4 linked regions of the Oreochromis niloticus genome follow. The protein of the gene in region 1 purifies or fractionates together with the protein of each later gene. This does not show direct contact. Links are inferred from orthologs where the notes say so. Each region holds a gene or a part of one and is shown on either strand. Other genes may lie near its edges. The genes, in order: hnrnpub, ilf2, prmt1 and rfc4.

Region 1 (7,345 bases):
TGGTCTCTAAAAACATGACACGCCCCATCCCACTTAAGAGGACAAAAATAAATAGCCTTCCCTCAATGGAGAGGACTGTGGAGATGACACAGGGATGTCGCCATGAAATATTCATGGACATTTAAAACCACTGGCGCAGGAATGTCACTGGTTTACTTTGGCGTTCGGAGTCCAAATGATGGATTTTGGCGGTGATGAATGTGCAGACGTGCACGCTTCTAAAAGGCTGCACTGAAGGTCCCACATGAGCCTTAGAACACTTGTTAAGCATCACCACTATATGCCTCAAAAGGAACTTCCAGTTATGCTTCTGTGTGACATAAGTGTCATAAAATGCTTTCAGAGCATGTGTATTGGAGTTTATCGGTCCACGCTGTCCCAATCTTACAGACTCTCACTAAAATATCATAAAAGACAATAAAATCCAGTAAATATTTGGTAGCAAGAGCCTTTATTTATTCCGTCATTTAGTATATTGTGATTCACAAAGTCTGCTTTTAACATTTTTCATGCATATTTATTCTTATTTATTCTTTCAATTCACAATATTCATGCCCAAAGGGGTTATTTGAGGGGGAAAAGCAAGTTTGTGAATACTTTTGTCATTGAATTGCATCAAAAAACAAAAAATATGAATGTGCATTTTTTTAATTACTGTAACAAATATACACCAGTAGCACCTGCTGAGAAGCATCCATATGCATTCAGCTTCATATTTCATTTCAGTTACGTGTTGTCTGTTGAGTCCAAACACGATATTATTACTGTAATTATATAGACTGCTTCGAAAGCATGCATGCCACATGAACCCCCTTTCCATCACAGCATCATTGTCACTGACCTTGTAGGAGAAGTGATGGTGAACAGCCAGGCTAAGGGCTTGTTTCTTCAGAGCAACAAGGGTCGCTGAGCACTTCTCGCAACGCACAACTTTCCGATCGGACCTCCCAAAGCCGGGATTCGCCGACATGGAGCCTCCTCTACATATAGTCCTGAAGGACATGGTAGTCCGAATGCGGTCTCCTACAGATCCAGGGAGGGACTTGTAAGACGGGACATCGTCTGCTCTCTGGCACATATTCCCATATGGGTCGCCCCTGGACCCTCCGGCACCCACAGGAGAGGGGCGCTCCTTGGACTGGCGGTCCTTCCCTGCGGAAAAGCCGGCGGGCTCAAAGTGATGCTGCACTTCTGTGCTCTGAGAAATAAATCATGATAAATAAGGATGTATGTGGGCTTTGGCAGGGGGAAATTAAATATCAATCGACTTGGGCTACTGTAACCACACCCTAATGTTTTGTTTTTTCTAGTGCAACAGTACTCTCAAGAAACTCTAAACCCCCACAAATGCTAACAAATTTTGCCCAAAACGAACAAATCTGACTTACCCAGAGTCCTCCTCTGATCGAGGCTGGAAACCCCTCTCCTCCTCTTCCAGTCAGAGATGACATGACAACTTGTAAATATTTAAAAAGATATCCGAACAAAGGCGGGGGGCATTTTCTGTTTATTGTTGCCAATCCTCGGGGACGTGGTGCAAAAATATCCACTCACGTGAGCGCCTAAAAGAACAAACTATACAACAAGCTGAAATGCTGGGCACAGTCTCTAAGAGGTGGAGTGATGGCAGTGGCACAGTGGAGAAGGAGTGAGAGCGCACGGGAGAACACTTCATGAAGTCACTTAGCTATTTATTATAAGCTCCTCAGGGAGGCAGCACGGAGCAACTGCTCGGAGAAACCTTAGAAAAAGGAGCAGGCGGCTGAGTGTTTGTATTTCTTGATGTGATTCATGTCCTACATACTGTCGCTGTCCCGCAAATGTCACTGCACCTTCTTACAACGGAACAGTCTGACAACATGCCTGAACAGACGTGTGCGCATGCGGAAATATCTATCCACATTATTCTTACAGTGGTTGTTTTCACCTTAGCAGCAATGGTGTCAAAGAGAAACTGCAAATATATCAAAAATATTTCCAAATGACTGAAATCCATGTCTCGGAAATGTATTTATTAATTCATTAATACATGATAAGTTAGTGTTTAATTAATACTTATTTTACTCTAAGTGCTTTAAGGAGCAAAGAAAAGTCATGTGTGTATCTGAGGGGTAACAAGTCCAGCAACAGAAGCGTGCTTGCTGTAGGGGTCACCATAGCAGATCATCTGCCTAAGCTGAGTTGTTACAGGTTAATCCTGTAACTCCAAATGTATCATGTTTTTAAATAAACTGAACAATATATTATTAAGCAGTAAATTGGAAAAAAAAAAAAAAAAAACCCAAAAAAACACATGCATTGAAATAATTAGTACCCCATCAACCCAAGAACAGTTTCAATTCAAACAGATTCAATAAACATTTTCCAAACAATTTTCCAGCAATTATTTCACAGTTGACATAGTTTACTTATGATTTACAGGATTAAGTAGTGGTATTAATAATGAGCGTGTCTCAATCTGTTAACACAAACTACCTTTTTAAATGTAACCAATCGGGATAGAAACCCAAGGACTTGAAAAGCTAGTTCCCTCCGAAGATATAGAAGGACAATTGTTCTGAAGTATTATGAACTTTAATTTCAGTGATCACCAGGATCTAAAAAGCTGTATGTACAGTACCAGTCAGATCTGACAAAAAGGTGTACTGATTTTACCCTGAAACAGGGTTTATGACCTCATGACCTGTTGTTCATGGGTAATTCTGCAGCTATTTTCAGAAAATATGATGGCAGATGTGATGAAATGATTTAAATAATGTATAATTTTTGTCATTTTATGCAAATGCCCAAAGGAAATCCTCATTTCCAGGTAGTATTTTAATAAAATTATTCACATACCTTGTGTTTCTAAAACACTGAATAAAATTCCAAATACAGATGTGCATAAATGTTTAAATATATTTCAACATTTAAAAAAACAACTGTCTCACTGAAGTTTTTTCAGTCGTACAGTCGCGACTTTTCCAGGTGAACTATTTCCACATGTGCACCATTCTGAAAACTACAAAATACAGTTACAGTAATTTTGTTATTTTTCATTAATTTTACATATAGATGTGTGGATTGATATACATATTGTGTGGGACGCATCGTAAGCATCCCGCATTTGGGTATTTGGAGCTCTTGGTTCTGGTATTGAAGGCGTGTTTAGTCTTGGTGGTGTTCAGTAGTGTTTAGATTCAAATCGCTAAGTGAATCGAGCCTTCCCTGTATCCTGCTGTGTATTGTTCGGTCTTCTTATCTGTTTGTGATTCCTTGCTTAGTTGTTTCCTGTTTTATTTTGACAGCGGTTATTCTCCGTGTCTTATGTGAAGGTTAACTTCCCCCTCTGACTCATTAGCTTAATTTAGATACAATCTTCTAAACTAATTATTACATGATTCGTAGGCACGATTTAGTTTTCTTTCATTTTGAAAAATATCAGTTTACCATTTATTAATGATACTAACTGTAATGCCCTTAACAGTTTGACAATGCCAGGTATCAAAACAAAGAGGTACTTCATCTTACGTCTTTAGACTGAAAACAAAGAGTTTTTAAAAAGACTGTAACAAACTTTAGACGATAATCCGTCCAGAAATGCGAGATCCTGCATTTCTCAAAATGTAAAAGAAGTTTGGATGTGACTTTCTATTGCAAAAACATAAATCTCAAGCCTAAGGTAACTCCGATGATGTAACCAAGGCTGAGCTTTGGCCACTGAAGCTCTTTATATAAAAATCGGTGTGCGCTGCTTTAAATGAGTATAACAAAGAGTTGGCAAATCACCAAAGCGCTTTCCAGAAGAGTCCACGGAGTTATGTGTTGTTTAGAAGTGCATGAACATTTTCAACATCAACTCTGAAAAATCTACAGTTGACAGAAATAACAAAAAATAAATTTTAAACAGTAATCAGCTGCTTTCGTTACACGGGAGAGCGATAACGTGTATTCAGAAAGATATGTGTCGGCGTAGTTAAATATCACATTTGTGCCTCTTCTTGGATTTTATAAAATTGAAAAAGGGGCGAGAAGAGAGAGATCTTTGTACTGCATTGTTTCTAGCTTACCGATACTGATTATTCGTGTTGCACATTACGCAACTATTCGTGCTTTTACTCTACTGTCCTGGCCTGTCTTAAACTCACTGCCTGGTTAAACAGCCCTCTGTAAAATCTTTTTCGTTAAATAATGATATAAACTAGTTAATACCGTTCGCGCTCTTTATTGGAACCATCTTTTCGCGTACTATCTGCCCCGCTTTTCCACAACAATGGTTTCTGAAAGGGACGTTTAGCTGCAGTGACAGATGGCCACAGGCTACATAACCAAGCTGCGCCTCTCTCTGGGCAGTTACGGTAGGAGACGACTCCTCCCCCACACCGCAGGCTCAGCACAGCTCTGTGCCGGCAAAGGATTGGTTGTACAGCGGGTGCCGTTTGGCGCAGTTTTGAGCTACATCCGTTAACAAAGGGCGTCCATTTATTTATTTCCCGTGTTATTTTAGCGCGTTCGCCGTCAAACATTCACCATGAGCACAATTAACGTGAAAAAGCTTAAAGTTAACGAGCTCAAAGACGAGCTGAAAAAGCGTAATCTTTCGGACAAGGGGCTGAAGGCCGAGCTGATGGACCGCCTGCAGGCCGCGCTGGACGAGGAGGCCCTCGCTTCTCCACAGGAGCAGGCAGCTGAGGCGGATGACGGTTTCGAGCAGGCCGCCGACCAAGAGGGTATGGCAGAGGAGGAAGAAGGAGAAGGAGAGGGGGAGGGAGAAGGCCCCGTAGAAGAAAGCATGGAGGCCAACGAGGAGGAAGAGCCGGAGAGTGGAGGCGACGGCAATGGCGTTGCCGTGGACGAAGAAATGGGCGAGGGAGAAGAGGAAGGAGACGAGGACGATGAGATGGACCCCATGCTCAAGGGGGACGTGGACGACATGGAAAAAATAGATACGGAAGACGGTGAGCCGGGAGAGCAGGCTGCCGAGGGTGAGTCGACAGAATCGCTTATGTAAATGCGGCTGGTTGGATGTGTCGTTTTTTTGAGAAAGCGCTAGCGGTGAGGAAATTATAAAATTTGAATGCGCTACCGCACAGCAGAGCGTCCATGTTGAGAGAGAGAGAGAGAGAGAGCGTGACCTCACTACTAAGCTAGCCAGCGTTAGCACCGGTCTGCAGCTTGGTTAGCAGTCGTGTCGTAACCTTAAGTAGCCACAGTCCAGTCTACTAAAGAGACCTTTAGCGTCATGTTGAGAGCAGTCGACTAAAATTACTAAAGCGACTCTATTAAGAAATTTGCTACCGAATTTAGCTTAGTCTGGCTTTAAGTTTCGGTTTGGTTAGCGTGTTAGCTTGCCAGCTAGCGTCAGTTTCTTTGTGTCTGTTGTGCAGTGCCAACTAGCTGTTCAACCGGTTAGCTAATTCAGAGGTTCCCGGTGTTCCAGCTGGGGGCGTTGGAGAACATTTGCTTTCACATCCCATTTTAGAATGGATTGACGTGAAAACAAAATGTTAGAAATGGCCACTGCAGTGGGCTTCTTGCCACCCTTTCCGCCTTAATTGTACCGACATCGTGTCTTGGGGTCGTGGGTGTTTGCCTTTAAAGGTTGCCGGGAACATCTGAATTAGCTAATCCCAAGATGTGCTGAGAAAAGGAAGGGCGCCGCACTGCTCGTATAGGTAGGACGTGGGTAGGTTTTTTCCCCCGTGGTTTTTATAGATAGTGTTGGATGGTCATAGAAATTATTAATCTAGGCAAAATCAGTGCAGTGTCGCGGGGAGGGGGGTGTAAATCAAGGTCTAAGTAGGCTTCCCCGTTTCCCTGCATGATGCATTTGTCCCTGGCAGCAGTAGATTTGCCCTCCTTTTAATGAAATAGATTTGTATCAAAAGCAGTATCTTTTAAACCCTTTACTGCAGATTAGTAACACTTTACTTATTAGAGACTTGTTTACCCAGCCCCATTCACAATGTTCATACGGGCCAGCTTATATTGTAATTACTACCTGGTCTTTTAAAGCTGTTACAGTTTCCACAGTATGATTGTCTTGTTTTAAGTGTAACTATGAGGTGTTGCCTCCAAGTAACCTTAATACAAATGATAATGGTCGACAGACAATGTAACTAATGAACGGGCTTTGTGGGCCAGAACCCCACTGCCAGTCCGACCTCTCTCTCCCAGAAAAAGGAGCACCTCATTCTATATCTTTGTTCTATTTTCAAAGGGGATGCGGACAAAGACACGAATGCTGATCAGAAGAATAAGAAGGGTGTTAAGAGACGCCGGGAGGAACATGGAAGGGGCTACTTTGAATTTATTGAAGAGAACAAATACAGCTGGTAAGGATGGGACAGAGCGAAAATGGCCTTCAGCATCCCTGAAGCGCCATCTATAGCTTTGTTGAATTGTATTGGCTTTAAGTGCCAATGCACATAACTAGCAAGAGGAAAACCCTCATTTTTTTCAAGTATTATACTACTTGTAACATTATTTTCACACACATGCTTTGAGGGTCATCCCTGACTACTTAAAGAACCTTACCATTTACCTTTTTACAGTGCCCACTCACACTGTTTCTTTACTGGACTGCATTCTGTAGCAGAAGTGCATCTATCAAGTCTCTATGAATCCTCACACCTGTTCCTTATGCCACGTACTGTTTTGGAAAGCCTGTTGTGTCCCCAAGGTGAAACAAGGCTGCTCAAAGGGGAACCCAGAGGAACGTAGCAGATGTGCAATTTTCAGTGGGTGGGTGGGGAGAAACTAGCTCGGATTTGTGAAGAAGGGGTCCACTGCCGCAGGGTAGCAAAAAAACCCAAAACTCCAACGTCTGTTTGGAACGTCCACGGAGAAGCTCGCTATTGACCGTCCATCGTTACGCCTCGCAGTGGTCTATTCTTTTTCTTTTTTCGTTTTGTTTTTTATTTCACTGGTTGTATGATGTCGAAATGCTATTTCTGTCTCATGTATCATGTCCTGTGTGTGTGTCTGTGTTTTCATGGTGTGGGTGTGTGTGTGTGTGCGCGCGCATTTGCAAGGTTCTCTTTCTACCTCTGCTAGGTGACATCATGCATGGTGTGTGTGTGTGTGTGTGTGTGTGTCTACCTCTTGGTCAGTGTTTTGTTTTCATTGCGATGTCGATGCACTAAGGGTCAACAGGCAGATAATGGAATAACTTTGTGAAAGTTTTTTATTTCTTTAAAATTATTATTTTGGGAGAACCTTCGTCATGAATGTTTAGGCCAGGGCGGCAGAACTATTAGAACACCGAAGTATTGCTGCTCCATCACTTTTCCCTGAACAGCCAACTACTTTTGTGCAAGGATCCATTTTTCCCCAGATGTCCAGTATTTGCATTTTCACCCCCAAT
Region 2 (6,991 bases), on another chromosome or scaffold:
GTAGAGGACATCTCCACCCCACCCACTGAACCCCAGGTGGAGCCAATAGAAACCACAGAACCCTGAACTCAGCACACAGAGCTCACAGTGGTGTCATGTCAGTCACAAGAGACAGCTTACATCTGAGTGTCAACAGGGAAGCCATATTCCGTATGTTATGCGTTTGGAAAATAAATGTGAATGTTTAACAAGTTTCTGGCATGTTTGATCACAGCATCAGTGTTAGTGCTGCTGTCCCTACAGTATACTATGGTGTAGTTGTGAAATGGAACAGTTTTATTACTAATGTTGACATGGTAGCACTTTATAATAATGTCACACTATTAAGCCTTATTAAGGTATTAACAAGTGAGTAATTCATCATTTACACAGCATTACTGCGCCGTAGTATGCCATTTATACTTCTATCAATATCAAAACGCTACATGACTTAGTAGATTAATAAAGTTGTGAAATATAAAGAACAGAATTGGTCGATATTATAAAAGCAGCGATTTTAGCCCACTGTCAGTAATACTGTGTTCGACTGCCCCAGCACTCTCATCCTGCTTGTAACTCAGGGTTTCTCTCATCAGCTGCTGACGTGTAAGCCTCTTACTTACTTATGCACTGAAATGTTCTCCAATGAGAACTCAAAGAGAGAAATATCTCTAAAAATATAACGGTCATAATGCTGTTCTCATCATTGTTTATTGTTTTTGGCAAATTAGGGACAAAGATGAGGTTTTCATAAAATCCGAGCAGTTGGAACTCAAGTCGTTAAATCCACAGGACACATATGTGTATCTCCACAGTTATTTTAGCAGATCAAACCTATCTGACACTGCTTTCATGTATGGCTTCTTAGTCCTGTTGTCATTCTTTGTTCAAACCACTATAATATAGAATTAATTGTAAATGAATGTATGAAAACTTTAATCTCACTGAAAATAAAATTACTGCTGCACAGATAAATCGCTCTCTAAAGCTTAGCTTGAAATGTTGAATTGTTACTAATGATTTTTTTTTTTAGCACAAATCTGCTGAATCCAAAGCGGGGTTGTTCTGTCGAGTCTACAGATTGTATATTAATGGAATATTAACCACAGCCTTGTCTTTTTTTTCTATATAATTTTTAGATCATTGTGAATCTTCCTTAGCATGCACACATAAGGCCACATTCAATTCTGCTAAATAAAGTCAAGCTTTGTTTTAGCTTTGTGTGATTATGTGTAATTAATTTCATGTTTGTGCAGAGAGCTGAATGTTGCTTATGGTAAAAAAAACAAACAAGCTAGACAGTGAATAAAGTTCAGGTTAGCTAATGTAGTTTATGAGACTAGTGTCCATCATACTTTTGTGATATAATGTAACAATAATATGACCAACATTAAATTTATTGCATTAATATGTGGAATATAATTAAAAATTAGAAAATTAACTAAAAAGTGACATTTAACTCAGCACCTCAGTAAAGATTCAAGGTGCATTCAGTAATAATTTAGCAGTATTACTCAGAATAATCTGTAAACTGGGCCACATTAGTACAGCGTGAGCTTCGTTGTTACTTGATCCACACAAATATGGGAAAAAAAGTTTGCTATACCAAATATTATTTTATCTTCTCCACTACTACCTGCATTCCAAATATTGTACAGGTCTGTGGTTTATGTGCTTAAATAGCCGTGTATTTATGTGAAACCTGTCTGCCAACCCGAAATGATTACAGATCCATCCTGGCCCCCTCACTGACACCTTCCTGTGTTAGGATCCCTGGGTCATCGACCCAGTGGTTTGTGTTTTGGTTCTTTGAGTTTGTTACTTCATTATATTCTAGTTTTGCTTTTTGGGTTTTTGGATTATTCTTAGTTTGGGTTCTCTGGGTGGGTTCTGTTAGAGTTTTAGTGTTCTGGTTTTCTGTCTGTTATTCTGAGTTGCTGTCTCCCCTGTTTGCTGTATCCCCACGTCCAGTCAGTGTCTGTGTCTGCCCTGGTCCCACGTCTTTGTTCCCTTTGTTATAATGCCTGCCTGAGAGTCTGTGTTATGTTTCCTGTTTTACTTTGTAAGTCCATTTCTCATGTTAGTGTATCTGGTTTTGCTCTCCTTGTCTCGTTAGTCCTGATTTGCCCCAGCTGTGTTTCCCTCCTGTTGCCCATTCCCTGATTGCTCCCTCTGTGTACTTAAACCCTGTGTTTCTTTGAGTCAGTGTCGCGTCGTCCCTCATGCTGTGTGTATCTCCCTGTGGCTCCCTGTGTGTGTTTTGTTAGATTCTTTTCAGTTTAGGTTTTGTAGATTTTCTTTGTTCAGCAATAAAGCTGTTTTGAGTTCACCGTTTTGTCTCCGGAGTCTGCACCTTGGGTCCTATTCCTGTCTGCACACAGCCGTAACATGACATCCTGGCTCCGCCTTAGAAAACATTCATGCTTAGAAAACATTAGCATGAATTCTGTCTTACCTTTGCTGTCTTGCTTCCAAAACTTAAATCCAGCGCAATTAAATTGCATTAACTGAATAACTCCATTTCCCACAATGCCTCAGAGCAGGGACATTTCACTTGAGCAGCATCAGTCTTTGCACAGGTAATATCCATTCATGGTTTTTTGGAGTTTATTGTCTACTGCAGCATATTTTCAAAGGGGTGAAATGCTATAAAATACAAAACACATTTAGGCATTTTTCTGTGTTGAGTTACTTTGGCACAAAAGCCTCCACTGTAATATTTGCACCTCTGATGAAGTCTCACAGGTGTAAGCTTTATTTTGATAAGATTACTGCTTACACAGAGTTTGTAATTGAAACTCCATCTCATCTTTTCTTGTAATAACTTTACATATGAAAGTGATATTTGATATGTCACTTTACAAAGCTGCAAGAATGAACAATTTCTGCATACATTACAGAAAGTGAGCCAGACACAAAATATTCATTTGAAAAAAATATAAGTAAGTCGCAACAGAGGTTTTCAAAGGCTAAAAAGAATGAATATTTGAACATCTTCAGTTCCATGACAACTGGACAGCTCACTAAGGAACATTAAATGGTAAATGGACTGGTTATTATTTAGCACTTTCAACTCTGAGCTCTCAAAGTGCTTTTAATTTGCCTCATTCACACCAATTCATACATGTACTTTTTCTATATGTATATGTAAGTTCTGTTTATATAACATTCACACACATTCATACTCCAGTGGATGTGTCAGAGACGAACTTGGGGTCACTATCTTGCCCAAGGATATTTGACATGGATATTTGACACTGGAGTCACAACTGGTTGGAAGATACTAGCTTCAACTGATATACATGGAATGCATTCTCATGGATGTCAGCAATTTGAGGCACACAGCCACAGAGTTAATGATTTCTTCAATGAAAAGCAGTCCCAAGTAATGTGGTTTCTTTGACATGCATTTGAGAGGACTGTCCTTCGAGGAACCAGACTTTCTTGCCTTCCACATACTGTTGGGCTAGGGACCTCATCCAGTCAGTGAACTGGCGGTTTTGTTCTGCTGTGCGCTGGAGGAAAGCATAAGATTCTCCGGCAGTGGTTTAGGTGATGTTGGACTTGTCAGGTCACAAATTTTGAAGCCAACTTGAAAACCTTCTCCAGCCAATGATGTCCAGATCCTGCTTTTTAGATCCCATTATAATCAAAAAGATCCTCTAGAAAAGATTAAAATTCTGGAAACAGTTTATTAAACAGAGTCATATGAACAGCAAAACAGTACATCACATTACACAGAACAGCAAGACAACAGATCACAAAGCAAGCAAAGCAAACCTCAGGCTGTAGAGGCTGTAAGCACAGACAGGAAAAAGCTGGTGGGGGCACATCTGATGCTCCTTTATAAGGAGTCGAAACCTCTCCTAAACACCAATCAGTCCTTTTTGACAGTTTTAGGGCCAAAGTGAGGTCATGAAGTTTAAACTTAATTTGGCAGTTATGCTTGGATTTACATAATATTAGGTCTACATTGTTAGAATCCCAGCCGCAGTGAGATTCTAAAAATGTCCTGTGGAGGGCAGTATTGAGCTTAGTGTGCCGCCCATTGTAACAGAAGAAGTCGACGACTAACAGGCAGCACCGAGAAGCCGGTCCACAGAGGGACGTTCAACAATTCTCTGAGATTTTCCACGTACAATAATCAAAACGTCGTACGCAATGAGGTATCCGAGTGTAGCTCGTTGGGCAATGTGTTTTAAGTCGAGTACTATCAAGTCTTTGAATTCTTACCTCGTACCTGTGCTACAAGCTAGCTCTGAGTGCCTGATAGAGCCAGTTACTGCCTTCGTAATTTAAAGCCAGTGGCGTGTATTGTCTGAAAGCTCGCTGCTTTCCTTTTTTTCCTTCAATGAATCCAAACGTCCGAGCAGCGTGTAGCAGGAGCTTCCTCGGTGTAGGGAAGGCTACAATAGTAGACATATGTTAGCAACCATCCCGTTGGCTAATAGCTACCCTGCTGGAAAGCTAAATGAAACAAATGTGCTTTGGCTCAGTGAAGCAGCGCTGATGTAGTGCATTGGTTTCTCTACATTAAGTCATTACATCACAACATCATTACACGTTGGCTCAGTCGCCAAACGTGGTTTGTGCACGCACTAACGTCAGCTGTGTTGTGTTTGTGTCCAGAGGAGACCGCGGCAGAGGCCGAGGCGGCCGCTTCGGGGCCCGCGGAGGACTGGTCCAGGGGTGAGTTCACCAGCCCAGATGTGTTGGCTGATTTTCAGTAATGTCTTGGTTCGTCGTTCGAGCGCTAAGCCCCATTTACACGTTATGTAGGGAATATTACTCTCTTTGTGGTGCCAGGTGTTTTGTCCATAAAACACAGGTCACCACGACTTCATTCACAAAGTCCAGCTCGCTCCAAGGCCTCATAAATGTTGCTGGCAGTGTGAAGTGACAGTACCCATAAGGCTACACGGGTGTAAGCAAAACTCCGACATCTGTGGATGAAATAAATCATTTTTAGAAATTTCTCAATTTCCAATAAAAATTCACAAGTAATAAAATAACATTTGTTTTGCCGTGAATCAGCTTTTATCATTTAGCCGTGACAGTGCAACGAGGCGCTCTTTAAAGATCTCATGAACATTTGTTTTTATGATGATGTAACGTGTGAGCTATGAAAATCTGACTGCCAGCGTTCTGTCAGCACACTTTCATGTTTTGCTGTTAACCTAACTGCTTTTGTTCCCTACATAACACAATACATTTTTATAGTATAGTACCAGCTTAGAGTGCTGTAGTGCTGTAATGCTGAGGAATCAGAATCAGAATACTTTATTGATCCTTAGGGGAAATTATTATTTAGGGGAAAGAACCTGAACCGTAGACACTTTCAGGGACGACTCATAACCACCATAAAAGTACTGTGTGCGGCATTTATGTGCTTCACTGCAGCTGAACTCGTCTGGGTTCCTGTTTGCGTCTCTGCAGTCCCACATACTGTTGCTCCAACAGCACCAGTCAACACACACACGCTGTACTGTGCTCCTGTCCCTCTGCTTATTCCACTACAGAGAAGCAGACCTCAATGTGTCAGAATGTAAATGCTGAAATCACTATGCTTCATATTTTTGTGTCCTGTTCTCAGACAACAGAACAACTGTGAAATCTTGCCTTCAATGTTGTGCTTTAACACTGCCAACCCCGGTAACTGGAATGAAAACCACTAACACTGCTGTGTAACCACTGAAATACAGACCCTGGAACTGCAATGTTGTTTAACCAAATCTGACAAAACTTTATTTTTGTTTAGGTACCGGCCATTTGTCCCACACATTCCATTCGATTTTTATGTGGTAAGTATGTGTGGTGGTATGAATTAGAAACTTTTCACCAAATTACAAAGCAGCAAGACGTCAGCCAGCAGTCAGTGTATAATGAAAGTGTAGAGTGGTTCTAAAGGAGCAATGCAAGTACTCAAGCAGACTGTTGTTTGTCACAAGTGTGAGATGGCCTTCCCCAGAGTGAAGCCTGCACCTGATGAGACGGCTTTCAGTGAGTGTCTGCTGAAAAGGAACCAGGATCTGAGCCCCACCCCTGCAGAGCAGGTCAGTCCGTGAGCCTGCACTCATTCAGCAGTAATGGAACTGACCTGCTGTTTCATTTCACTTACACAAACCTTGTTCGTTGTCCGTCAGTCTTCCATCCTGTCCCTGGTCACAAAGATCAACAATGTGATCGACAACCTGATTGTTGCACCTGGCAACTTTGAAGTGGTGAGTCGAACATGAGTGAATGAGTCGTAATGGCTTCAGTGAAGTGCACACGCTGCTTGTGTCACTGGTGTGTGTGTCAGCTGTTCTCTCAGAGCTGAACTGAAACTCAAGACTGTTTAGAAACAACACTGAATCACTTGAATACAGTTAGAAGTATCCAGTAACAGTGCTTTGTGGACTATACAGCTTCATTTTCATTGGACAGATTTCATATTTATATTATAAGCTAATTAATAATAATGTCTTTCATGTCAGTAATCTTGTACTTGTCGACTTGTAGCAAATTGAAGAGGTGCGTCAGGTGGGTTCCTACAAGAAGGGCACCATGACGACAGGACATAATGTTGCTGACCTGGTCGTAATCCTCAAGATTCTCCCTACATGTGAGTAATATATGGCACAATTACACTGTCTAAAGAGAAGTTGCTGCTCCAGCACACATCATTTCTAAGCCTAAGAAGCTCGGAAAGAAAAGCATCTGGACTTCTTTAGGTTTCTTGAAGACGTTTCATCTGAGAAGCTTCTTCAGTTCTAAGAGAAATTGGCAGAGAGTCCCAGATTTTCCATGACGCTCCCAAATAAGGTTTCAAATCTGAGACTCTCCACCAATTTTTCTTAGAACTGAAGAAGCTTCAGAACCTAAAGAAGTCCAGACGCTTTTCTTTCCAAGCTCCTTAAACTACGATGACCTGGATGACTGAGAACCTTCACAGACATCATTTCTAAGCCTTTTTGATGCTGTACGTTGTGCTGCTTCTTGTCACTTGGATAATTTGGCAACTTGTTTGCAG
Region 3 (7,514 bases), on another chromosome or scaffold:
CAGCAAAATAAAACCCAGATTAAGACACACGAGCTTGACACAGACAAAACCATAAACAGACATGAAGACAAGACTGACTTTAACACTAGAGTATTTTCACAAGTGTTCCATCCACTTGTGGAAACTGAAGAAGAACTACACTAAAAAGTAATATGGAACTGAAAACAAAAGAATACATAATGTAAACATATCATCAAATAATCCAGGACTCACAAACAATGATATGATGAACAGAACTATAAAGAACAAAACTGAGAAATGCTCGGTAAACTGACCAAGGACTATGTCATCATGTCATTTTTTAATATCATAGTTGATGTTTCCTGATTTGTAGATAGTGCCATCTTACAAATACCAGGAAATCCAACTGGATGACAAGCCAGAGTTGTCTGCCCACACACCCACTGACTAGAAAAAGGGTCCAGGACTCTTCAAGCTGGGATACAGGCATAATAGAAAAAGATGTAAACAGACTGAAGGTCATCAGGAATGTATAGTCTGTTGTTTATGTTATGCTTGTCAGCCTGGAGGAGGTAGTCAGTGACAGACTGTTAGCAATCAAGGACAACAACTCTCATCCCCTCCATAACACACTAGACAAAGCGAAGAGCATTTTCAGCAACAAATTCCTTCAACCCTGCTCTCTGAGGGAATGACACACTAGGTTTTTCCTTCCTGCTGCTGTCAGACTTTTTAACTCATCCACTTGTGTCAGACACATATTGAACAGGAATAAACATGACTCACTGCACTCTCTCACTTGTTTCTGAATTCTTTGTCTCCTTATGAATAATGTATATAATGTTCAATAATTTCATGTAAATTTAAGTCTTATTAATAGAAACTGAGAAAAGAATGTAATTTGTTTTTACTCGTTTTGATACTTGGATATGGGGATTAATAGGTAGTTAATTCTATCTTTTCATTATGTTCTGTATTTCAAACTGTAAATTAAGCTTGTTTGGTTATATTTTTTATTCCATTCTTGTACTTTTTCATGCTTGTACTTTTAATACATTTTTGATAACATAAAAATAAATTCTGAAAGAAACCCGCATTTTTCAATACAGAATTCACAGATATTTTCAAAATTGATTTGGCATGCAGTGTTACATTGGTAAAGTATAATATATTGCATTAGAAACTTTCACAGGATCAGTTCTGGACTACATCAAGTTCTGTACTGCAAATGTGACTGTGGACAAAAGCATTCGGGTTTTCCCAAACCAAAAACCCTGGATGACCAGCGAGGTCCGCTCACTCCTCAAAGCCCGTGATGCCGCCTTCAGGTCAGGTGACAGAGCTCTGTACAGGGCTGCTCAAGCTGACCTGAAAAGGGGAATTAAAAAAGCCAACACAGACCATAAAGGAAGCATCGAGTCCCACCTGTCCAGCAACAACACACGGGAGGTGTGGCAGGGAATACAAGACATCATAAACCACAGAGGCAGCACTGCGAAAACAGAAAACCTGAGTGTGCAGCTGGCAGAGGAAATAAACAGCTTCTTCGCCCGCTTTGAAACACCACAACAGCAGCATTCATCTGCCTCAGCCCTGCTCCCATCCTCATCCTCACCTGGTTCCTGCACTGCTCCACTCACTATAACGGAGCACGATGTCAGACGTGTGCTCCTAGCAGTGAACCCCAGGAAGGCGGCCGGTCCAGACGGAGTACCTGGCAAGGTGCTAAGAGCGTGTGCCCCCCAGCTCACCCTCATCTTCACCCTCATCTTCAACCTCTCACTGGATCAGGCAGCCATCCCATCCTGTCTAAAATCAGCCACAATCATCCCAGTGCCGAAGAAGTCTCCCATCTCCAGCCTGAGTGATTACCGCCCTGTGGCCCTCACACCGGTAATCATGAAATGCTTTGAGAGACTAGTCCTTCAGCACATCAAGGATTACCTCCCCCCAGAATTTGACCCCCACCAGTTTGCATACCGTCCAAACAGATCCACAGAAGACGCCCTCGCCACAGCCCTCCACGCTGTGCTGAGTCACCTAGAGCAGCGGCAGAGCTACGTCCGAATGCTCTTCGTGGACTACAGCTCAGCCTTCAATCATCCCGGACATCCTCATCACCAAGCTGGTCACTCTTGGCCTCCCTCCTCTCACATGTGCCTGGATAAAGGACTTTCTCACAAACCGGCCCCAGACTGTAAGATCTCATCCTCATCTCTGCTGACATCTCCTGGACAGACAACATCTCAGCAGATGTCAAGAAGGCCCAACAGCGACTGCACTTCCTGAGAGTCCTCAGGAAGTACAAGCTGAACTCCAACCTGCTGCTGACCTTCTACTGCTCGTCCATTGAGAGGCTGCTAACCTACTGCATCACAGTATGGTACGGCAGCTGCACTAAGGCGGATAGAGCCCCCTAAAACTAGTCATTTTTTTTCAAATGACTACTCTTACACTAGTTTTAGTGGATTTTTGATATAGAAGCAGAATGACAGAATGTTAAAAGAAGTTACCTTTAGTCGCACTAAGCTGGGCATTGTGTTCTCTGGCTGTTCAAAGCCATAGAACTTTAGACTTTCCAATTAAATAATGATGGCCATACTGATGTTCATTTCAGTACATTTTACTTAATGTTCATTTTCAGTTTTATGATGTTTCCATTTTTACATAATTCATCCCACATAGCAAAATTGGTATGGCCTGGATCTGTCCCACACAATGTGCTTACACATGGCCCACATACTGCAAAGAATGACGGCCTTTTGGTGGCCCAGATCTGGTTTACCAGATGTGGCCCACACATGGGCCAGCACAAGGCCAGTTGCAGACACACTGCTGGCCCTGTGCTGGCCCAGAACAGTTTCAGCTCTGGCCCCAGATGTCAGCCTAATGTGTACCTTAATCAAGCCATGTAATAACAACATGTGCCAGAACATGCAAAACAGTGCAAAAGTAACATGAAGAAACTCTGTTCAGACAGTGAACGGACTGATTCTTACACAGCGCTTTTCTACTCTCCCAGATTACTCAAAGTGCTCTATACAACATGCCACATTCACCCAATCATACACTTTGTATAAACTGAGTGCTTCCTAACTACATTCATACACTTGACATGCAGACTGGAGGAGCCAGGGATCGAACCTTCCGACCAATAGGCAACCTGCTCTACCTCCTGAGCTACAGCCAGCCACTGGCAAAGATGAGTAAACCCTCACTAGGTTTTGGATAAAGTGTACACTCACAAACCTGTCAAACCTGCATTTGAAACGTTGGCTACCATAGCAGTATAGTATTGCAACATGGCATTTGGGTCTTCTAACTAAAACAGGAAAATAGGAACATAAATAGTGCCATCATTGCCAGACCTGGCCCACATCTGGTTGACATACACCCTGCCATGACACCAGTCAGTCAGAAGTGCCAGCTTGATGCCAGATCTGGGCCAGACCTGTTTTCTATGAGCCAGGGCCACATCAACCAAACCACAATCGGGCCAGATGTGGCATGCCATCACATAAACAGGGCTTGACCTGTCTGCTATGTGGGATGACTTGTTCTTTTGGAGTTTTAGTTGTGGATTATGTCTGGGCTGTGTCTCTTGCCCTTTCAGTATAATATTGTTTTCTTGTGCTTCTAAGTGTCCCTTTGTTTCCACTATGTTTCTTTTTAGGTTATGTAGTATGGGTTAGGGATATTTTGTATGTTGTTTTAGTTTAATAAAACCATCTTTTGGATTATTCCCTGATGTGCCTGAGTTCTGTTATTTAGTGTCACTTTGAAAGGCACACAGAAAGCCTTGACATATAATTGTTCTTTCAATTTTTGATAAATATTACAGCGGATTGAGATGTAACGTGGCCCAGAGGTACAGTAGGTGGCCTAGAGGAGGATTGTGTTGAAAATTGGACATCAACTATTAAGGATGATTTGTAATTAATTTTTTAAACATTACATAATTGTAGTGTATTGAGTGTATTGTATTGAACATAAATGTCATTTAATTTCTGAGGAATATTACAGTAAATCTGGATGAAACCTAGCCCAGAGGGGCAGTAGGTGTCCCAGAGGAGGACTGTGTTGAAAGTTGGACATCAACTGTCAAGAATGATTTTTAATGAATTTTTGAATATACAACCAGACTGTCCCGATGGCTGTATTGGGCTGTCCCATTGCAATTTGTGTGCGCGCGTGCGCACGTGTGCGTGGGCCTATGCTTTTGATCGGGAAATAACGAGAAAAGGCGCTGCCGTAAAGGCTGGTGTAGAAGCGCAAGAAAATTTATGCGGCGGATAAGAAGCGGCTGGCTTGACCGCGGTGCTTTACCATGATGGGTGAAATCCTCCAACAAGGATGCCACACATACAGGATTGTTTCCATTCATTCACTGGCATCAGTTCACATTTATTCAGTGAAGGTTACCAAGTGATCACGGCCTATTTTTAGGGACTTAAAAAGATCGGAAGTATTCAAACACGTTAAAAACACAACAGTCTTAATGGACGGCGGTTCAGTGTGGACCCGGAAGCAGGGTTTTACGTCATCACTTAACAACCGGATTAATTTGGAGGCAGGGCCTGTCGTCTGCACCAATCAGAGATAAACGTTGGCCGTCGTGGGCGGGACAAAGGGAGACGCTTACAGACCCACGCAGCTACTCTGGGTAGATGATCGAAATGGCGGCGCCAGCAGAAGGGATGGAGGTAAGGTCTTATAGTGTGAAAATAAGCCTCACTTATATTTATCTTTGGTAACGACACGCGGTCATTTTATGAAGTCGTGCGACATTGCGTACACGGTTATGTTTTTAGCTTTACTTAGCACATGCCTACCAGCTAGTGATGCATCCATTTTAACTTGGCTAAGGCTAATAGAGCCTTAGCACCGTTGGCGCTCATTCATCTAACATATATGTGACCGAGAAAGGCCACTCCGACACTTCACCAAGCACGTACTGCGGCTGATCCCCACGGCTGTTTGACGCTGGAAGGTTAAAGAACAGAGTCGTCCTTTTAGCTAATGCGTCAGCCGGCTGCTGGCGATGGAGCGAACCTGTCGTGGACCGCATGGGTGCTACCGTGTTAGCTTCTGAACTCGTTAGCTAATTGTGCTACAGAGTTGAACTCTTTCTTGGTATTTTCTTACAGTTTATTCATAAACTTGTTCTTTAACAGATGTCACGTGATTTCTGCGATAATCTTTTCCCTTTAATGTAGTTTACAGGCGACAGCAGCAGCGCTGAACTAGCCGCGTTAGTAGCGCATCCTCAGGGTGATAAAGAACTACGTTGTAGGCAGCTTTAGGTGTTCTGCCTCTCATAGAGGTGAACAAACGTGCTAGCTGTACTGAGCCCGAGCCGATAACTACAGATGAGGTAGTTGGTGTGCACGTGGAAACCCAGTGTTATCGAGGAAGGCCAAGAGCGCGCGACTTCTCAGCCATGTGCCACCATCTTTTGTGCGGCCGGAGTTCACGTTAAAGTGGGCCACGTGTATTGGCCCAGCGTGGAGCCTGTTTTAAAAACTCTAACCCGTTTAACTCTGTCCGTGAAGCCGGACTGGGAACCAAAGTCTTTTCAGTTCCCGTGTCTAAAGCACGTGGAGCGCCATCTTGTCGGAGTACACAATAGGACATCACTGATTCGGCTGTTGCCGCCTTCAGCCCTGTTATGGGTTTCCCCCCTGCAAGAGATGATTGATGCTTATGGTTGTGGTATGATGCCTATACCTGTTCTAACTGGTAGGGTGTGTTTGGGGAAAAGAAGTGGTCGGCCCCAGTATAACTGTGGGTTACATCACATCTTAATGTGCCCTAAAATACTGTTGTGGGAACTAGGGAGGGAAAACAGAGGGACACAGCCTGGACTTCGGCCTGGTGGGAGACCCTCCTCCTCCTCTGCAGTCCTCATTTACTTACAGTTAAAAGATGGGAAACAAACAAGAAACTCTTACACTGGCTGCTTATCAGCTGTTCAGTGAACTCAGCAGTTTCCCTGGAAAATTCAAAGAGGTTAAACACATGATACAGGTGTGTGTGGAAAGACGGTGAGGCCTGTAAGGCTGGAACAGAGTTGCTATATTAATACATTTAATTGTTTGAAGCCAGCAAAGCTGCTGGTTGTCTGAGTTTAGCAAAGATGATGTTTAATTGAGACGATCTTGGTCTTCTGTGAGGTTTCCCAGGGGGAGAGCTCAGCCAAGCCTGCAGCTGAGGACATGACATCTAAGGACTACTACTTTGACTCATACGCCCACTTTGGAATTCATGAGGTATTTTTCTGGTTTGTAATCTGTGTGTTTAGAGCAGTAACTCAAGGAAACTTGTGTGTGTATTCATGAATCCTGCTTTTGTGCTGTAGGAGATGCTGAAGGATGAAGTTCGCACTCTCACGTACCGCAATTCCATGTTCCACAACAAGCACCTTTTTAAGGACAAGGTGGTGCTTGATGTGGGCAGTGGGACAGGTATCCTTTGCATGTTTGCCGCCAAAGCTGGAGCCAAGAAGGTTATAGGGGTAGGTGTTTTATTCACCAATCAATGGTAATGACATCACTCACAGCTAGCGATGGTCCCTTGATATAGTTGATGTGTCTGTTTGTTGTATTTGATCTCCATAGATTGAGTGCAGCAGCATCTCTGACTATGCTGTGAAAATTGTCAAGGCCAACAACCTTGATGATGGTGAGTAAATAGAAGCCAACATGATTTCAGTCATGTGATCATATTTAAAAATGCATACTGAGCTCTACTTGTGTCTCCAGTTGTGACCATCATTAAAGGAAAGGTGGAAGAGGTGGAGCTGCCTGTGGATGGAGTAGACATCATCATATCAGAGTGGATGGGCTACTGTCTCTTCTATGAGTCCATGCTTAATACAGTTATTTATGCCAGGGACAAATGGCTGGTGAGTATGCATATGCTCTTCTGTTTATTTGAGCAGTAGAGCTCCTGTCAAACACGTGAATCCTGTTTCAGTCCTGTGGGCGTTTGTACTATAAAACGTAAATTTGATACGTTCTAATGTACCACCTTATATGAGGGTGAGTGTGCTTGTGAGTTGGGTTTTTCTATGATGGCTGCGACAGCATGTCCCTGTTTGTGTAAACCGTGCAGTCACAGTGTTGGCTGTGGTAATGTCTCGCTGCTTTGCATTACATGTATGTGTGCACTCAAACCTTTGTTCCTATCGCACCGCTGGGATGCTCCTTAAATCTGTAGATACATGGATTTGAGTTGGGCCAGGCTAAGCTGTGGGGATGTGTCAGCCTTAGTTTTGTTGGAGATGTGTGAGGGAGCGTGACGATCACTTTAACTTTGTAAACTTTTTAAATGAGAGACGTAAACCGTTCCCACAGCCTTTCATGGCCCAGTGTATGTTAACATTATGAAATGGTGCAATATTGGCGTGGAAACGGGACAAGAGAGCTCAGTAGTAACTTTATAAATGCAAAGAACACATGGCAAATGAAAAGGAGTGAAGAAATGCATCATGGGAAGCCCCCTAGGAACCACTAATATTCCAGCAGTCTGAGAGCAAAGTGCTCTACGGAGGT
Region 4 (7,559 bases), on another chromosome or scaffold:
GAGCAATGTGTTGTTGTGTTTAACTAATTAAGAGAGAATGCTTGAAGTACTGCAACAACATTAATGTGTAGGTTCCTATAAAGTGGGCTTCTCTTTAAATGCTGTTCCTATAAAACTACTCGTTAGCACATTGTGTTTAATAGACTGTGAAATGAAGTACAATTATAGATTAAGTTGTCATCCATTCAGTTTCTGATTCTCTGCATTAGTATGCTTTTGGTTGTGGTTGAATAGTGGAAAAAAAATGACCACCAACATTTTTTGGTAATCACTTTCACTTGACCCTGATGAGAAATATTATAAAGTCATAGAAATGATGGCGATTTCATAGTAACTTTGAAATCCAGTGCTCAGGAAATTCAACTGCACTTATGCTTAAAAAGTGCATTCTGTTAACATGGGTCTGCTGTGGTGAAAGTACAAAGTCCTGTAGATGAATTCCAAATAGGTGCATCTTAGATAACATGCTTTTTATGCAACACTGGAATATAGCAGCCTACCAGTCGTAACAGTGAAAAGCTGTACTAGGAAAAATTGCCTCACCTAGCCATCGACTCATACTTTACCTTCCCGCTGAAGAGGTGATTCACTTTAAGTCTTGCCTTTATTAAAGCTTCAGCATCTCCCAAGTAATTTTGTTAAGTAGCACAATGCTCATTTAGCTGTCAGTTAAACAAATTATTGAAAGAAGTATAAATGCATATTAGGCCGTTGCAGTATGGAAAAGAAAAACCTGCAGTAATTTACATGATAATCTGTGTCGCTTGAGTGTAATGTTAAAAGTTTGTTTTCATGAGCTCTTAATGCATATTTGAACTGTGGGAGAGCAATATTTTCTCACCTTTCATAAAGGATGGTTCAATGTATCCAGTGCTAAAGGGGACCATACATGAAGCAATGCAGCACGTTTACTTAATTAGAGAATTCATCCAGCTCTTATTATTGTTCCCACACAGTTGCTTCCAGCTTCATGTCACTCACTTAGGAACCTTCTCAAGTAAACTGACTGTTAAACTGCAGCCTTTGAGCCCATCCGAGCTGTCACTGGACACACACTGATACTGGTCATCCATCGCAAAGCTAACATTGATAGACAGGCAATTATTCACACATTCACACTTTTGTCAGTTTAGGATCACTGATTAACCGACACGCATAGGAGGAAACTGGAGTACTTGGAGAGAATCCATGCAGTTTTTGTTCTTTTTTAAAATATATATTCCTTTTATTTGCCTCTAAAAAGTGGGGTTAGGGTTACTTGTAATCATCAATCACAGAGAGAAAAGCCCTTTAACTGGACATCCAATATTTGTTATGAAAATTCTGTATTGTATAACTTTAAGACTGAACTGAAAGGACTGAAGTATTAGAAAGAAATATAATAATGCACAAATTTTATTCATAACAAATTGACCTGCGGGATTTTAATTTTTTAAGTAGCTGCATAGACATACATAGATCATTGATGGTTGGGTCTGTGTATTCATGATGTGCAGACATAAATCAGTTCACAGAGTCATATTGTAGTTTCATGTCATTCTTTTTTGGACTGAAACAAGTCACACTACTGTAAATCAAGTAACTTCAGAGTGCAGACTTAAAATGAAGTTACAATCAAGTTAGCATGAGACCAATATCAATAGTTTCTTAATTATATAATGTGTATAACAGGTTCTTTTAAAAACAGGTGAAGAATATAACAATATCCAGTTAAATTAACACCTTTACAGAATCATCTGTGCTGCAAACACTGGTGGCAGCATACTGAGCGAGCATGATTTCCAGTAAATTAATTCAGAGCCAGTTTCCATAGTAACACTCTTCACAGGCTGCCCTCCGCCCCCCTACCCATCATTCTCTTAGCTACTGTGCAGTGCAGGCAGTGCAGCAATGGAGAATACTGTGCAATGCAACCATCTCCAGCGTGGCACATTAACCTACTTCCACACCAGAAACAACCCGGATGCGGAATTAGAGAGCAGGAGGTTGAAAAATGATTGATGAATGAGGAGAGGAAAGCAAAGAGAAAAGACGTCTGGAAAAAAGGGCTTGAGAGGACCGAACAGCATGGAAAGCAGAATGAAGGACACACAGAGGAGAGAGAAAGGACGAACTCGGGATGGAAAAGCAGTGATTACTATGAGAGAAGGGCAAAGAGGAAAGATGGAAATAAAAGGCACAAAGAAAAAGCAGATAGAGTAAAGGTAACAAGACAGAAACTTAAATGGACAATATCAATGGAAGACTGAATATGTATCATCATTATTCATATTAAAACAAGAAAATAAGATCCTGGTCTCAGTAATATTTACTCACATCAAAGGAAACAGTTAATGTATGCCAGTGAAATTGAGAATGAATTGAAAGATCAATTTAAAAAATGTTGATTGCTGCTGAAAATCACAACTGAACCCAATGACTTCTCTGCTACACTCTTTGGCCCATGTTCCTTCTTGCTCATCGCATCCCTCTTCACTCAGTGGTCCTGATGAGAGGATGGAAATTCCCTGCCTCCATTTCATTTGCCCTGCTTCCTAATCACAAGTCAAAGATTTATAGATAAAGATCTTTCAGCACAATGAGGGTATATTCCAAGAGGCGGGCTCTCCTCAGAATTTCCCGTGAGAGGATACCGTTTAAAACATCTGCTCCTCTTATTCTAATTAATCCACCTGAGAGTGAAACATGAACAGACAGACAAGGGGGGAAACTGAGAAGATATACGATGACTTACCGACATGAGTGATGACACACTCGACCCTCTGTAGCAGCTCCTGAACCGACATCTCGTCCTCTCTCAGCCAGCACAGCATCTCAGGGTGTGGGTTGCATCCACTCTTCCCTTGATCTCTCTTCGTCTCACTCTCTCTCTCTGCTGCCACGCCTCCTCTTGTCACCCTTCCACCCCAGACAGTCTCCCCTGCTTTTGCTCCCTAATCCAATTTTCTCCCCTGAGATTTGTGTCTCCCTTTTTTCCCTCGTATATGTTGATTCTTATTTATATTCCAAGTCCTTCCTCACATTTATCACCATCACAGACAGCCACAAAGCCTGGGGATAATGATAATGTTGATGCCACTCCCAGCCACTTAGCTAAATAGTAAGTCTACATATAAAATAACCACGCTGCTAGTAAGGCACATATAAAATAACAAAAAAAAAAAAATACCCAGTTAGGGTTGATAAAATAGAAAATACAATAGCTTAGTCAACTGAACAATGAGCAAGATAATCTGTCAGTCAGTGTTCAGTGAAAAACAATGGCAAGGTAACTCTTAAGCAATTAAACAATAAAAGCCAGAGCAAGTCAAGCAGAAAGACAACAAAATAGACAATTTGTTTGTCACCCTATCAGTCAGAAAACTGTGCCAATAGTAAAAAATAAAACTGCATTTTCAGAAAATTTGCAAGTAAAAACATCCAATTATTAATCAGCCATCCAGACAGTGATAGAGCCAACCGTTCCTTGTCATGATGCTCCAAGCCCCAACTGAAAACCAGAAAAATCCTCATAGAACAAAGTAAATATTTACAGCGCACCTAAACTAGGAAAAGACAGAATGCTCCTCAGCCAGGGGAGATAGTTGAGTCCACTCCATTGATAGGGAAACTCCTCAAGCTTGATGGGCAGGAAATCAGTGGTGCTGCTGCTTTGATGATGCTCTATTTGCTCTCATAAAGAAGCTGAGTCACACAGAGGGAAAACGAATCAGAAGGCTGCTTCACCTGCCTGCAGGGCGGAGGGAGAGAGACAGAGCTGGCTGAGGGTGGGGTGGGGGTTAATAGGTCCAAGAGAGAAATCCTGGTGCCTGGAGCTGGACTGTAGGAGTGGAGCCTCAGGAACACACAATGATTATCAAATTAAACATAAAAAAAAAAAAATTATATATATTCTTTTTTTGTTGAATATGTGGGAAAATAACATAAAATAACATAAAACATTTTTAAAACCCTACATATTTAGCCATCTGATTTAATCATCATCACGCAAGAGCACAAACAAAACAAATCATTCATGCTTTCACTTCATTTGGTGCTACTAAAGCCACTCTGCTAATCCAGCTCCACATTTTGCCTGAACCAAACAATGTAAGGGGCTCTAGCATCTCTCCATGGCCCTGTATGCTCCTGGGACTGTCTATTAGCCGGAGACATCTGTGCTCTTGCTACTCATTCATCTTCTCTCTGCAGGCAATCACAGGCCGTACAACAGAAACAGCCAAGATCAATGGCCCATCAACTGGCAGACAAAACAAAGCACATAATCCTGTATTTCTTAGGAACATGACTACACAGTGTTTGTTTTTGTCAGATGAAATCATTAAATATAAACTATCGGATTATTTATTTGTTTATTTGTCTAAAATTTAACAGTTTAGAATATAAGCGGAAATATTGCGTATGAACAAACCAAACGAAAATAACAGGAAATTATGAAGGCTACAGAATGAAGAGGAGACAAAAAAGCCCCTCTCCCCCAAAAGGAGAAAGGGCTGGGAGGAGACGTGACTAAGGAAACAAGCGGCGTCCGCACCATATGATTGGAAATTACACAATGACGTCGACGGAAGTGTCTTCGGCTGCTAGCGCGGGAATACTCACTGACGCTGTTGAAGACACGGAGTTAAGCAGACAGGGGTCGAGTCAGCTGCCAGAATTATTATTACTAGAACTGCAGTTTTAGATATTCATTCACTCCGACCTTGGAATTGTTAGGTAAGACTTCTAAAGCGGTTCATGTTTATGAAAAAAGACACAAGGTGGCCCTTTGGAGTTAACAACGGGGCTAATGTTATTAGCTCATAGTAAGCACAGTGGCTAACTCACCTAGCCTCGTTAGCTGCCATGATAAGTTGTGCTATAATGCTAAAAACAGTGCCAAAGAGGACCGCATGTACCATTAGCATTTAATGTTCAGGGAGACAGTGTGGAAAACTTTCTTTAAGTGTTTACTAACCGCAGCTAACATGGGCTACACACTAGTGATGTCTGGGTCAAGCTATCTCTGCTGTTCAAAGTAAACTCCTACCATTACTTTCTCATTATCGAGCTACATAACGAACACAGTTCTGTCTGTTGTGATGTTAAATTTCTTAAGTGCCGCTCTTGCATCCCAACGTTTCGATGTCAAATTTTAACTTTTACTGTCCAACGAATGAAATAAGGCTGGACGTTAACGTTGAAAATGATCGTTATGTCTTTTTCCTCCAGTCGTTCAACCATTCTTTAAATGATCTATTAACTGATGCTTGTGCATATCAGGTCTAAAATGTATGGAATGTTCAGTACAATAGAGCGATCTTTCTGAGGCGTGCCTCTTCTTCTTTTGGCTGCACTCTTTAGGGGTCGCCACAGTGGATAATGTGCCTCCATCTCGCCCTACTCCTAGCATCCTTCTCTGTCACTTCAACTCTGCATGTCCTCCCACACTACATCAATGAACCTTCTCTATGTTCTTCCTTGTTTCCTCCTTTCTGCCAGCTCCATTTTCAGCATCCTTTGTCCTAGATATCCACTGTCTCTGCACTTGTCCAAACTGTTGTCAGCCTTGGCCCTCTCTCTAACTTTGGCTCCAACACTACTCCGTAATCAGTGGTTAGGAGATGGTGACACTAACAAAAGACAGCAGGCTAAGCTGGAGGTGGAGCTAAAGATGCTTTGATTTTCTTGAAAGTTACCTTAGAAGTTTAAGGTATATGCACCCCTTATTTATAATAAGGGGTGCATATATGATGTAGATCATAATTGGTTTGATAATTTGGATTTCAATTATTCTGGCGTGTTATGGTTTACTTGTTAGGTGACTTATCTTTGAATATTGCAACTTTCATGAGACTAGCTTGATTAAACAAGGCATTAACAGCTACATATGGATATCATGGTACAGGAAGATGGAATTCAGCACAGTACTGGACATTTGTTTGATCTTTGTTTCCAAAATATTGTTACAACCTACCTCTGTATAATTATGATATAATAATTATAGTGTGTGCATTTTGTATGTTCATTTTAGTAGTCATGCAAGCCTTTTTGAAAGGAGCAACAGTTCAGGCAGCCAGGCCTCAGAAAGACAAGGCAGTGGTTGGACCCAGTGCAGAGAAGAAAGCAAAGGCTGTTCCTTGGGTAGAAAAATAGTAAGTATGACCCACAAAGGTGTACTGTACACTACATCTGATTAACTATACAGATTTACAGCAACCTCAAGAATCCTTCGGGACAAAACTTTTAACCGCCTTTTAACCGGGGGGCTGTTCAGTATTGCCATAAAAATACAATATATATGTATATATTTTTTTTAGTCTTGGGGTTGATTTACAGAAATGTTTAATCTGTAAAATGCATAATGAATAATAGCATCATGTGTCTCATTTTTACATTTTGATCATCTTTTGATGTCACAGTGAAATTCAGGATTGTTTCTTGACTCAAGATGATTATTAAATCCCCCAAAAATGGAACACATATTTTGCATGTAAGTGCATTGGAGGGTGACCACAGAGCTACAAATACAACAGTTGGACGTGCCTTTTTTTCCTTCCCTATTTTTACATGAATTTCTGGTCCTCATATATAATTTTGTGAAAATTTCTGTAGCAGCTTTTAACTGACTGCCATTACATCACAAATTTATTATTTATATATTTATTTAATGTTCTGATGCAGTGCACTATCATCCTAATATATTTTATTCTATCAGTTATTGTGTAATAGATAGTTACACTACAGTATTTTAACCTGGTTCTGTCTTTGTGATCTTTTTTTATTTGTGTTCTTCTCTCCTTGTAATTTCGTTCAGCAATGCTTCTGTGATATGTTGACTAAGGACAATAAAAGAATCTAAAGTCATATTTTTGTAAAACTTTTGTAAAACACACAATTATCACCTAATAGATTTTCAAATTATGATATAAGGTCATATTTTTTATTTTAGAGGAAAGACGATGTGAAATGTAATGGATTGTGAGTCATGTTATTGACTTTCAGATTTTTTTTTAATTTAACAAATATTTCACGGTGATGCGGTTAAAAGTGCTTCTGTTTTGTTGTTGCACAGTTCTCTGGAGTCTATATATAATCTGTATCCTGTGCTGATATTGAAGCTTGCAAGGTACTCAAACCAGATTTTTTTTTTTTTTCTCTTTCTTCAATGAACTCCAGCAGGCCAAAGTGTGTTGATGAGGTGGCCTTTCAGGAGGAGGTTGTAGCGGTGTTGAAGAAGTCTCTGGAAGGAGCAGATGTAAGTAACATTTGGTTGTTCTTTTTTTATAGCCTCGGCTGCATTACTGCATTTGGTTTGATAACAATGAAAATGCCGTACACTCTGGTTTTTGGTCCCTTTAATCTTTTGATTCAGAACACAGCCTTTCAAGATCATAATGTGGAGGGTTGTTTTGGGTGGAAGTGGACAGTAAACATTTCCCTTATCTGACAGAAAACTTTAGTCAGCAGACTTCCGTCACCTGATGGGAGATGAGTGTGTTTTTGTTCTCGTGCATGTACCACGTATACCGTAAGAATGTTTTCAAACTTGTGTCAGATTGCTTTGTCACAATGTAGCA

The links.
Region 2: the proteins of hnrnpub (region 1) and ilf2 fractionate together in Homo sapiens (co-fractionation; 3 studies listed by BioGRID and IntAct, with this or other methods). This does not show direct contact. The link is inferred for Oreochromis niloticus from reciprocal best matches to the Homo sapiens genes HNRNPU and ILF2.
Region 3: the proteins of hnrnpub (region 1) and prmt1 purify together in Homo sapiens (affinity purification with mass spectrometry; 4 studies listed by BioGRID and IntAct, with this or other methods). This does not show direct contact. The link is inferred for Oreochromis niloticus from reciprocal best matches to the Homo sapiens genes HNRNPU and PRMT1.
Region 4: the proteins of hnrnpub (region 1) and rfc4 fractionate together in Homo sapiens (co-fractionation; 3 studies listed by BioGRID and IntAct, with this or other methods). This does not show direct contact. The link is inferred for Oreochromis niloticus from reciprocal best matches to the Homo sapiens genes HNRNPU and RFC4.

Annotation. Positions count from the first base shown.
Region 1 is NC_031980.2:811,776-819,120, forward strand, and holds the start of hnrnpub (heterogeneous nuclear ribonucleoprotein Ub), read left to right. Parts: upstream 1-4,330; 5' UTR 4,331-4,510; coding exon 4,511-4,964; intron 4,965-6,199; coding exon 6,200-6,314; intron 6,315-7,345. Other genes in the region: kif26bb (kinesin-like protein KIF26B), read right to left, coding at 842-1,198, 1,389-1,451. UniProt on the Homo sapiens protein: DNA- and RNA-binding protein involved in several cellular processes such as nuclear chromatin organization, telomere-length regulation, transcription, mRNA alternative splicing and stability, Xist-mediated transcriptional silencing and mitotic cell progression.
Region 2 is NC_031985.2:35,583,817-35,590,807, reverse strand, and holds the start of ilf2 (interleukin enhancer-binding factor 2 homolog), read left to right. Parts: upstream 1-3,988; 5' UTR 3,989-4,140; coding exon 4,141-4,145; intron 4,146-4,608; coding exon 4,609-4,668; intron 4,669-5,737; coding exon 5,738-5,780; intron 5,781-5,927; coding exon 5,928-6,032; intron 6,033-6,122; coding exon 6,123-6,200; intron 6,201-6,480; coding exon 6,481-6,583; intron 6,584-6,991. Other genes in the region: uncharacterized protein si:dkey-81h8.1, read left to right, coding at 1-66. UniProt on the Homo sapiens protein: Chromatin-interacting protein that forms a stable heterodimer with interleukin enhancer-binding factor 3/ILF3 and plays a role in several biological processes including transcription, innate immunity or cell growth.
Region 3 is NC_031969.2:2,252,484-2,259,997, reverse strand, and holds the start of prmt1 (protein arginine N-methyltransferase 1), read left to right. Parts: upstream 1-4,514; 5' UTR 4,515-4,628; coding exon 4,629-4,664; intron 4,665-6,134; coding exon 6,135-6,230; intron 6,231-6,319; coding exon 6,320-6,475; intron 6,476-6,578; coding exon 6,579-6,642; intron 6,643-6,722; coding exon 6,723-6,865; intron 6,866-7,514. UniProt on the Homo sapiens protein: Arginine methyltransferase that methylates (mono and asymmetric dimethylation) the guanidino nitrogens of arginyl residues present in proteins such as ESR1, histone H2, H3 and H4, FMR1, ILF3, HNRNPA1, HNRNPD, NFATC2IP, SUPT5H, TAF15, EWS, HABP4, SERBP1, RBM15, FOXO1, CHTOP, MAP3K5/ASK1, MICU1 and NPRL2.
Region 4 is NC_031986.2:29,303,804-29,311,362, reverse strand, and holds the start of rfc4 (replication factor C subunit 4), read left to right. Parts: upstream 1-4,555; 5' UTR 4,556-4,716; intron 4,717-6,013; 5' UTR 6,014-6,018; coding exon 6,019-6,134; intron 6,135-7,158; coding exon 7,159-7,237; intron 7,238-7,559. Other genes in the region: mcf2l2 (guanine nucleotide exchange factor DBS), read right to left, coding at 2,735-2,813. UniProt on the Homo sapiens protein: Subunit of the replication factor C (RFC) complex which acts during elongation of primed DNA templates by DNA polymerases delta and epsilon, and is necessary for ATP-dependent loading of proliferating cell nuclear antigen (PCNA) onto primed DNA.